Linked DNA regions of Canis lupus familiaris. The protein of the gene in region 3 interacts with the protein of the main gene of each other region in a biochemical or structural test. Links are inferred from orthologs where the notes say so. Each region holds a gene or a part of one and is shown on either strand. Other genes may lie near its edges.

Region 1 (3,746 bases), on a different chromosome or scaffold from region 3:
CATCCGTAAGGCCTGACAATTCACTTGTTTTTCCAACTGTTGTCCTATTTATGCAATAAAGAACACTTTCTGACAATCTTAACCTATTAGTGTCTCGGAGACAGAACTATCTCTCCTCATTTAAAAAGCAAATCGCCGACTTAGAAATCGATTTCACCTTTTTTTTTCACTGGGGGTGGTGGTGGAATTCTTTAAACACTTCCAAGGCGCAAGAGAACATCCGTCCTTCCGCATCAGGTCCCATCACTCACGGGAGCGAGGCGCGAACTCAGGCGGCAAGCCCACGCTGCCCCCACGACGTCCCATCCACACGTTTCTCCACCTATAAAATTCCTCGCTTGCTCGCTCTTCACAGTCTCCATCCACTTGGTCATCCTTTGACCCTCCCGCCGTATTCACCCCACCTGCGGGGACCCGGATCCTCAGCAGGAAACCGAGACTTCTGCAAGCAAGTTACTTAATTAGCCGCGCTGCGCGCCCGGCGGCGGAGCTCCGCCCCCCGTGGGCGGGGCTAACGCAGGCGGACCCAATTAGTCCGTCCGTCATTAACAAACGATCCCTTGATCTTCCTAGAGGAGCGCCACGCACAGCAAGGCCCAATCAGAGGCCGCGGCTGGGGCGGGGGCGGGGCTGGGCAAGCGCCTTCCCACCTCCCAGCCTCCCGCCGCGGCCGGCGGAGCCTCGCGGGCTTGGGCAGGCCCCGCCCCCTGGCCAGGCGCGGCGGCGATTGGGCGGCGCGCTCCTCGCCGGGGCCTCAGTTGCCGGGAGCGGGAGGGCGGGGCCTGAGGCTGAGGTGGGCCGGCGCTGGCGGGGTAGGGCGGGGGGGCCCGGACAGAAAGGCGGGGAGGCGAGGGCGGGCTGGGCGCCTTCGACGAGCGCCGAGGCGGTTGGCGAAGCGGACGGGGCGCAGCCTTCCCGGTGCGAGGAACGGTTCCCGCTGACAGATCCCCTTCTTCCGGCCGCGCCACCCGGGAGGCGGATCCCCGGGGCCTGAGGAGGCTTCCTCGGCCCGGCCCGCCCTCCGGCCCTCCGTCTCCCGCGGGTCATCCTAACGGCCTGTGAGGAGGAGGAGGAGGCGGAGGAGGAGGCGGAGGAGGAGGTCGTCGGGGGCGGCGGCAGGCGGGGACCGTGCTCCCCCTTCGGCGGCGGCGGCGGCGGCGGGGGCAGGACAATGGAGGTGGCTGTGGAGAAGGCGGCGACGGCGGCGGCGGCTTCGGCGGCGTCGGCGGCGGCCGCCGGGGGGCCCCTGGCGGCGCCGAGCGGGGAGAACGAGGCCGAGAGTCGGCAGGGCCCCGACTCGGAGCGGGGAGGCGAGGCGGCCCGGCTCAACCTGTTGGACACTTGCGCCGTGTGCCACCAGAACATCCAGAGCCGGGCGCCCAAGCTGCTGCCCTGCCTGCACTCCTTCTGCCAGCGCTGCCTGCCCGCGCCCCAGCGCTACCTCATGCTGCCCGCGCCCATGCTGGGCTCGGCCGAGACCCCGCCGCCCGTCCCCGCCCCCGGCTCGCCGGTCAGCGGCTCCTCGCCGTTCGCCACCCAAGGTGAGAGGCGGCCGAGGTGGGCGCGCGGGGGGGAGGGGAGCCCGGGGCGCCCGGGGCGCCCGAGGAGCCTGAGGAGCGGCCCCCCTCCGGGGCAGGAGGCGGGCGCCCGGGTGCGGCGCGACCCGCTGTCACGTCGCCGCCGCCGGGGGTGCGCGGCGGGGGAGGGGCGAGGAGGAGGGTCCGCGTCGGCGGCGGCGGCCGCGCGCCCCGCGAGCCACTTCCCCGGGCGCCGAGGGCTTGGCGGCGGCGGCTCCGCGTTCTCCTCCGGGGCTGGAGGAGCGCGCCCCGCACTCTGGAAACCTGGGCTGGAGCGGGCTGCGCCGCGTCGCTCGGCTGCTTGGCCCGCTGCGTCCGGCTCACTGCTCTGCCCTCTGCCTCCCCCGGAGCTTTGTCCCGGTCGGTGCGGCCCTCATCACCCGGTTCGGACCCACGTCATTTGAGCCGGGGGTGGTGGGCGGTGGGTGAAGACGAAGCGACGGGGACTTTTCTTCGGGGAGACGCGTGGCAGATCCGGATGCTGTTTTCTGTCCTGCACGTATGTTTCGGCTTCTTTGACGCGTCTCCCCGATTTCTCTCCCTTCTGCCGGGACGGAGGGACCCAGAGAGACGGTATGTGGTTGTGTGTGTGTGTGTGTTTGCATTGGAAGGTTTTCTTTCGCAACGGTAAAGGGTAAAGAGAAATAGAAGGGAGTGATTTTTTTTGGGGGGGGGGGGGCGGGCGGCCCGCAGGGTTTTCTTGTATTTTGTAGACGACAGCTGGGTAATGAGGACGTTGCTGTTCTCTTTGGTGGTGCATTTGTTACTGGGTAATGAGACTTTCGACAGGTCGTTCCCATTGCGAGCGTTAACAGGTTTGAGACCTTTAAAAAGTGAGTCAGAGTAAGCGCAGTAAGCATCCTAGGAGAATGAGGATTGTAAATTGCGACTTTGCGGATTCGGGAGCACCTACCTCCTTTTTAAAAATAGAAAGTAATTAGAAAGGGAATGATTCTTTTTTTTTTTGATGATTCGTTTTGATGTATACTTTCAGAGGGTCTGGTTGATTAAGTTTGAGATAAAATGCTAATTAAGTAATTGAGCCTATGTTAAGGGGTATATGAAATCGGTGCTATAGACAGACAGTAGTGTTAGACTCTGCATTTGATTCTGTGTTTGGAACAGTATCTGGCCTAGGGAGCCAGTTTTCCAGCGGTCTCTCAGTTTCTGCAGGTCGTGCCAGGGAGGTACTGTGACTGCCCTTTGTTTCTGTTTTTGAAAGATGTTTGTATAAGGATCAGCCTTGGAAGATAGAGATTGTGTCTTCCACCAGAGCAAAGAGCAGGCGTGCGTGTGGTCCAGTGTGATGTCCACTGGAGTTAAAGACAGGCATGCTTAGTACCCACGATACAAGATTGGGGTGCTCTAAGCTTAGGTTTCCTCTGGTGTAACACAATCCATTGCCTGTGCAGGTGTCAGCTGGCCCTTTGACCTTGCCTGGTGGGAACTGGGGTTCCGGGAAGGAGAGCAAAAATGTCGATGCTTCGGTTTATGTTAGCTTTGGCCTACGTTATTATTGTGAGTAGCTAATAAACGTCCCTGGTCTCTCACCCATGAGTCTGCCTTCTACCATGGTAAGCTAGCTTGCAAATAGGCTGAAGTCTCTGATCTTTCACTCTTGTTTTCTCTCATGTGGCCCACCTGTTGGAAATTCAGTACAGGTGAAACAAATCCTAGTTCTTAATGTTTAGACACAGTCTAAGGTCTCTTTTATTTGCATTTTAATTGGTTAAATAGGCTAGTAGCCAATCAGGATCTGAATTTTGCGTAATTCTAGAATTAAGGTTTATCGTGTGCCTGGCCATGATATTCAGACCGGAATGAATGAGAACAGGGGGAATAAATGCTCTGAAACTAAACTCTGAGACAGGTTTTAAGTTCCAGATTTCTCAAAATGTTCAATGCGATTCTAGTCTAAATATATTTTATCTTGGTGTTTGTATTACCAGCAAGAGTTCAAGAAAGCATATAAATTGGAAGGTAATGGTCTCTAACAAATGATTCTTTAAATACACTGTTAAAAAAGAGGGTCATTTTCTATAAATTAAAAATACTACCTATCCTGAATCTTATTAACTTGAATGTTCTTCGTCCCTCTCCTTGTGAACTTACTCTAATACTAGCTGAGATAAAACTTTAGCCAGCACATTTCATAAATAAATAGGGTTC
Region 2 (3,646 bases), on a different chromosome or scaffold from region 3:
GATTTACAGATTCATCTTATTAAAAAATAGGTTTCTATTAGAAGGTCTTCCTCCCTGTTTCATAATGGTGATGTTTATACAATTTAAAAAAAAATTAATGAAAAATAACCACATTGACTTAGAATTTTCTGAAAGCAATTATTCATCTTCCCTTCAAATCTATCCTAAATTTATTTCCTGCCCACTTTTCTACAGGATGATGTGATTACCTATTGTGTACACAGTTACATTTACACATATTATAGTAACTACATTTTTTTTTTAAGATTTTATTTATTTATTTGACAGAAAGCAAGAGAGCACAAGCAAGGGAGATGGAGAAGCACGCTCCCCGCTGAGCAGGGAGCCCAATGCAGGGCTCGATCCCAGGACGCTGGGATCCTGACCTGAGCCAAAGACAGGCACTTAACCTACTGAGCCACCCAAGTGTCCCAGAAACCACATTTTCTGAACTAAGAAATTGGTACAAGTACCTTGACACATTTTTCTAAATTAATGATTTTTATTTTAAAACCTTATAAAACTTTTTCAAATCATGTATAATATTTGAATTTATTTATACTTATAATAGCGAAGTCACACAAAAAGAAATAGCATGGGTGGGGAAAAGGAGTATTTTCTGTGAGGAACACCTTAGAAACAGAGTTACGGGTTCACCTGTAACCTGTCTTCTGCTTCTGTTAGGAATGGACCACACATTAAAAGTTCTACATACAGCAAATGAGTGAAGATTTAAAAATGGATACATTAAGCCTCTGATAGACTTGATGAGCATCTAGAGAATCACTCTCTTCTGTTTCCAATAGGTCATGATAAAAATGAAGCCTGTGATTATACTTCAGTATTTATGAATATGACTAAGACTGTCACACTTTGCATAGGCCTACAAGATACTTGTCAGTGCTTCCATTTCTTTAAAAACAGAAATCCCACGGATTACTTATGGAATATGTAATGTTTCAAGAACGATGTCAGAAGTGAACCTAATCTGTAGTATTCAACCCTGCATCTAGCTCATCACATGAGTCCATGTCATGTGCATCTCTCTCTTTTTTTTTTCTGCACTTTTACTTTTTCCTTCATAAGCTCCCAGTAATGTAAGAAAGCTAATTCTAGCTCCCATATAGAGCTATGTCACTATAAAAGAGACTTAGCATCCTTATTGTTACTATGTGGAAAGTGCTCATGAAAATTCAGAAACTCAAAAAAAAAAAAAAAGAAAGAAAGAAAGAAAGAAAAAATAAAGAAGAAAAGAAAGAAGAAAGAAAAAGAAAGAAAGAAAAGAAAGAGAATAAAGAAAGGAAGAGAAGAAAAAAGAAGAAATAAAGAAATAAAGAAGAAGCTAAAAAAGAAAGAAAGAAAGAAAAGAAAAAGAAAGAGGAATAAAAGGGAAGGTAAGGAGGCGAGAGAGAGAGCTCTCACTCCCTCCCTCCCTCTACCTCCTCACTACTCCCTACCTCCCTCCATCCCTCCCCTCCCCATCCCTCCATCCATCCCTCCAGACTAACTACCTCCAATCAGACCTCCCATCCTCTCACCCTACCCTCCCTCCTCCCTCCCTCTCCCTCCCTCCTCCATCCCCTCCCTCCCTCCCTCCTCTCCCTCACTCCAATCCCTCCATCCATCCTGCCTCCCCTTTCTTTCTTTCTTCCTTATCTCTCTCTCCCCTCCCTCCTCTCATCCACCATCCTCAATCCTCCCTCACTCCATCCCCTCCCTCCCTCCCTCCCTCCTCCCTCCCCCTCCCTCCCTCCCGCCCTCATCCCTCACCTCCCTTCTCCCTCCCTCCCATCTCCACGAAAATTCAGAAACTCGGTGTGCTTTGGAAGACAGTTATATAACACCAAAGTATTTTCTTTAATTGATTTGATCACTTTAACAATATGGGTTAATTTATAGGACTTCCGGTAGCGATTTCCAATTTAATAGGAATGGCAAACTATGTTACTAAAGAGGTGGCTATAATGCATATATACGTATGTACGTTATGTTTTACATACATATACGCACACACATATATAGACTTACAAATACTAGATTCTTTTGCTTCTTGGTATCGTAACATAATATTAGTTATGCCTCTTCTTAACTTTTTTATTTTTATTTTCAGAACACCGCTGTTGGCATTTAATTGGAAACAAAAGATGAAGAAGGAGAAGCAGTGTATTCACTAAGGATTCTATCCGCCCGCCGCCGCAGACCTGTGTATTAAGGAATTCTGCTGCTGCTTCTTGTGGAGTTGATCAGCTCTGTGGTCAAACTACTTTGGAATCTGCCTGCCTTTCCTCTTGTCACAGGGAACCCTGGTTGGAATGTAACCGTGCATCTCTGTCTGATGACTATGGAAGGTGATAAACTGACACTCACTTATTAAAATTACATCTCACTCACCCACAGAAAACCATTCTTTAACGTGAATAGAAACCAAGCCCTTGTGAACACTTCTATTGAACATGACTCATGGAGAAGAGCTTGGCTCTGATGTGCACCAGGATTCTATTGTTTTAACTTACCTAGAAGGATTACTAATGCATCAGGCAGCAGAGGGCTCAGGTACTGCCGTTGACAAAAAGTCTGCTGGGCATAATGAAGAAGATCAGAACTTTAACATTTCTGGTAATGCATTTCCCGCCTGTCAAAGTAATGGTCCAGTTCTCAATACACATTCATATCAGGGATCTGGCATGCTGCACCTCAAAAAAGCCAGGCTCTTGCAGTCTTCTGAGGACTGGAATGCCGCGAAGCGGAAGAGGCTGTCTGATTCCATCGTAAATTTAAACGTGAAGAAGGAAGCTTTGCTGGCTGGCATGGTTGACAATGTGCCTAAAGGCAAACAAGATAGCACATTACTGGCCTCTTTGCTTCAGTCATTCAGCTCCAGGCTGCAGACCGTTGCTCTGTCGCAACAAATTAGGCAGAGCCTCAAGGAGCAAGGATATGCACTCGGTCATGATTCTTTAAAAGTGGAGAAAGATTTAAGGTGCTATGGTGTTGCATCAAGTCACTTAAAAACTTTGTTGAAGAAAAGTAAAGCTAAAGATCAAAAGCCTGATACCAATCTTCCTGACGTAAGTAAAAACCTCATCAGAGACAGGTTCGTAGAGTCACCACATCATGTTGGACAAAGTGGAACAAAAGTCATGAGCGAACCGTTGTCATGTGCTGCCAGGTTACAGGCTGTTGCAAGCATGGTGGAAAAGAGGGCTAGTCCAGCCACTTCACCCAAACCTAGTGTTGCTTGTAGCCAGTTAGCGTTACTCCTTTCAAGTGAAGCCCATTTGCAGCAGTATTCTCGAGAACACGCTTTAAAAACGCAAAATGCGAATCAGGCAGCAAGTGAAAGACTTGCCGCCATGGCCAGATTACAAGAAAATGGCCAGAAGGAGGTTGGCAGTTTCCAGCTCTCAAAAGGAATGTCAAGCCATCTCAATGGTCAGGCGAGAACATCATCGAGCAAGCTAATGGCGAGCAAAAATACAGCGTTTCAGAACCCGATGGGTGTTGTTCCTTCTTCCCCCAAAAATGCAGGCTATAAGAACTCACTGGAAAGAAACCATCTAAAACAAGCTGCTAATAATAGTTTGCTTTTACATCTTCTGAAGAGCCAGACCATACCAAAGCCGATGAATGGACATAATCACAGTGA
Region 3 (3,646 bases):
TGGTTCTTGTCTTGCAGACTTCTCCACCCAGGTGAACTCCTCATCCCTCAACTCCCCCACGGGGCGTGGCTCCATGGCCGCCCCCTCGCTGCACCCCTCTCTGGGGCCTGGCATCGGCTCCTCGCTTGGCTCCCCGGGACAGCTGCACTCGCCCATCAGCACGCTGAGCTCCCCCATCAACGGCATGGGCCCACCCTTCTCGGTCATCAGCTCCCCCATGGGCCCCCACTCCATGTCGGTGCCTACCACGCCCACCCTGGGCTTCGGCACCGGCAGCCCCCAGGTAAGTGCAGAGGCAAGGCCCTTCCTGTGGGCCCTGCGGGTGGGGGGGATAGGTGCTGTCCTTTCCACCTTTTGTCTCTGGGAACCAGAACCTCGGAGAGGTGGCTTTAGCCTGAACTTGAGCCCAGGTCTGGCTGACTCCCCAGTGCTCGACTCTCAGTTATCGGCCAAGTTCCCTGCAGCTGGTCATCTACCCTAGTGGGACCCCTCCTGTGGGGGGCCCCCTGCTCCCGTGACCCCCTGCTCTGTAGAGCGGGGCTCAGTGTTTCTCAGGTTTAAACCTGCCTCCTGGAGCCTGTGCCCCTTCACCGCCTTTCCCTCTGCTCACACCCTCATCAGGAGGTCTCAGTGCCCTGGGGCCCAGATCCTAGGGCGGGTTATGTCCAGGCTCCATGCAGATGCACCCCTCCTTGGGCCAGGCTCTCGGCCCCATGGTGGCCTCGGCTCATCTGTTGGGCTTGGTGGTCTTTTCCGTAGTCATGTGTTTGGAACAATTTGGCTTTCAGGGTTGTCTCTGAATCAGGAAGCATCTGGTATCTGGCAGGGCCTGGCTTGGTCCAGTTCTTGTGATGGGATTCTGGAGGCCTGGTCCACCCTCTCCTATGCTTCTTGTCCAAACCCTTGCAGCATTGTCCTGAACTTTTCTGGAGATCCCTGGGAGATCCCTGCAGCTGCCCCCACCCCCCAGCTCCCTGTGGTTCCTGGTGGATTTCCTGCCTGAATCCCAGGGGGACCTTCCTCTCTGGGGTTGAGCTGTCCTTCCTGAAATCCGCAGGGCTCCTCTCCAGCTCTGAGTTCCTCCCCCAGAATGTGAAGGCCCCTTGGGTGCATGTCTCCACGGAGCCTCAGGACAGCCTGCTGGGAGAGACTTGAAATGCAGGCTTCCCTGCCCAGAGCGACACATCTAACCATGTCAGCCTCATCCTAGGGCCGTCCGAGTCCTCTGCTGCTGCACCACCTGCGGGGCAGCCCACTGTGCTCTGGTGCAGGAGGACTGGGATACCACTGAGCAGGGGCCAGTGTGCTGCCCGTCTGGCCGGGCCTCTAGAGCTGGCCTTGGGGGAGAACCTTGCTGGCTTTTCCAGAGTGACCTTGTCACCCCTTTGTGGTTGAGGGAGAGGGTGAAAGAGCTAAGGTCTCTGGCATCAGTGCAGAGCTCCCGAGCCCTGCTCATGTCACCTGGTCCCCAGAGTAGTAGGAGGCCTGAGGTGCTGGCAGAGGGGAGGCTGGGCTGTCTTCCTGGGCCTGGCTGGGTTGTTCTTAACACAGCCATCCCACCCCCATTCTCACCAGCTGTACAGCGCCATGCAGGGAGTGCAGAGGCAGGTGGAGACTGAGTGTGCCCCTGCCCTCTGGGGACTGTGACAGAAGCAAGTGTCTGCTGACCCTTGGCCCCACAGGCCCCTTGCTGGTCTCAGGCCTGCTGCCTGTTCGTAGACCTGAGGGCTCATGTATAGCAGTAGCCTGGGCAGGGCAGAGATACCCTTCCAGCCTTGGGGGCACTTGCCCTTTGGCACTGTTCTCTGTCTGGGGGCAGGGGCAGGCGGTACTGGGGAGTCAGGAGTTTTCAGGACTACATCCATCCTATTCTCTGTGTTTCTCTGCACACAGCCAGGTTCCTGGCAATTGGTGGGTGCTGGTTGAGCCCAAGTTGTGTGTGCAGAGGGCCCTGGGCCCCTTGAAACTGATGAGGGGGTCAGGACAAGAACTGGGGGTGCAAACCCAGTGTGTCCCAGATGGTCCTGACCTGCGCTCAGCCGCCCATCTGTCCATGTGTCCATCTGTCAGGTGGCCCCCAATGAGTTTTGCCCCAGTCTGAGGCCCCATGCTCAGCCTCTCCTCTGGCTGCCCCTCCCGGGTAGGTGTCTCCCCTGAACAACCCCCTGCCCCATAGTTCCTTCCTGGAGGGAGTGCAGCTTCTGGGCTTCAGCAGCTTGTCTTGGAAACCTAGGGTTCCCCATATTCACAAGAGTGTGGGTGGAGTTCAAAGGGGGGCATGCCCCACCCCCTGCCCCAAAACCACAACCGCGAAGTCATGGTTGCCGGAACAAGACTTCTGCTGTCTTGGGGGAGGCCTGGCACTCTGCCTCGTGCTGCCTGTTCAAGTCCACATGGCCAGGGAGGGCCGTTGACACCACACCTGTCCCACTTGACCTTGCCCGGGGGTGTTGGCTGGACAGAGCCAGATCCCTGGTGCTGGTACCCGCACTGCCCCGCATCTCTTCCTGGTCTGGGGGCTCCATCAGCACAGGGCCCGGGAGCATCCCCAGCTCGTCCCAGAGCCCACTCGCCCCACCTAGCCTGCTGTGGGCAGCACTGCGTCCAGGCCTCACCAGCCCAGCAAGGCTTCCCTCGTGAAAGGAGTGCACACCGCAGGGTTTGCCCCTGCCTGGATGGCAGTGTGAGGCCGGTGAGGCCGAGGACCTGCCCTCGTGTGCAGCTCTGTTTGTGGGTGATGGCCTCCCTCGTGGGTTGGAGGGCCTGCTGTGGGCTCAGGAGGAAGGGCCTCCTGAGGTGGTGGGTGCAGAAGAGAGGAGCCTCGAGAGACGGCAGAGACCCCGGTGCGCATTGATGAGGCAGGTGGTTATTTTCGTATGTCCTGTAGGCTCTGGCGGGAACTGAAATAAATGCCAAGGATCTGAAAGGGGAAATGGGAACAGGCCCCCACCCTGGCCATACCACGTTGTCGGGCTCCAGTGAGGGGCTGCTGGTGCCATGGGTCTCCCCAGAGGGGAGGTGGGGTACAGCAGGGGAGCAGTCCCCCTTAGGTGGGGGGCCGCAGAGTCCCCTGGGAAGGGGTGCGGGCAGGGCAGAATGAGGCCCCAGGAGTCATTCTGGGCTGTTTTGGGGGCTGTGAACCCAGCCTGAGGCTCCTCTGCTTAGAGCTGGGGAGGGGAAGAGTGACCCTGACCCTCACAGCCTTGCCTTGGTGGCCCAGGCCTGTGGTGAGTGGGGACCCCAGCTCAGCCTTTGTGTTCCCACAATGCAGGGTCCCTTGGGGCTCCCAGGGCCCCTGGCTGACTGCTGTGCCCATGGAAAGCCTGGCCCGGGAGGGCAGGGATGTGCCTGGCACGTGACCAGGAGCCACAGCACTGACTGCCCGTCCTGCCTGTGGCTCCCTCCCATGTGGAGCCCTGGCCAGCCCTCCTCACTGCTGTGGCCCTGCATCGGTTTACCTAGGGCAAGCACCCAAGGGCCTGCATGCAAATGGGCAGCGGGAGACAGGGCAGGTGGCCCGCTAGCTGCCCAGCCTGGGGTGGGCCAGCACGGAACGGGAGATGTCCAGTTTCCCTCCCTGGTGCTCCCATGTGGATCCAGCCATGTGGAGTCCTGGCTGGGCTTCTGTGTCTGGGGCAGCTCCCCA

Evidence for each region.
Region 1: the proteins of RXRA (region 3) and TRIM24 form a complex in vitro, tested with the Homo sapiens proteins (3 studies listed by BioGRID). The link is inferred for Canis lupus familiaris from reciprocal best matches to the Homo sapiens genes RXRA and TRIM24.
Region 2: the proteins of RXRA (region 3) and NRIP1 form a complex in vitro, tested with the Homo sapiens proteins (2 studies listed by BioGRID). The link is inferred for Canis lupus familiaris from reciprocal best matches to the Homo sapiens genes RXRA and NRIP1.

What each region holds. Positions count from the first base shown.
Region 1 is NC_049237.1:9,918,974-9,922,719, reverse strand, and holds the start of TRIM24 (transcription intermediary factor 1-alpha), read left to right. Parts: upstream 1-1,171; coding exon 1,172-1,541; intron 1,542-3,746. UniProt on the Homo sapiens protein: Transcriptional coactivator that interacts with numerous nuclear receptors and coactivators and modulates the transcription of target genes.
Region 2 is NC_049252.1:12,290,316-12,293,961, reverse strand, and holds part of NRIP1 (nuclear receptor-interacting protein 1), read left to right. Parts: intron 1-2,110; 5' UTR 2,111-2,453; coding exon 2,454-3,646. UniProt on the Homo sapiens protein: Modulates transcriptional activation by steroid receptors such as NR3C1, NR3C2 and ESR1. Also modulates transcriptional repression by nuclear hormone receptors.
Region 3 is NC_049230.1:50,607,530-50,611,175, forward strand, and holds part of RXRA (retinoic acid receptor RXR-alpha), read left to right. Parts: intron 1-17; coding exon 18-283; intron 284-3,646. UniProt on the Homo sapiens protein: Receptor for retinoic acid that acts as a transcription factor.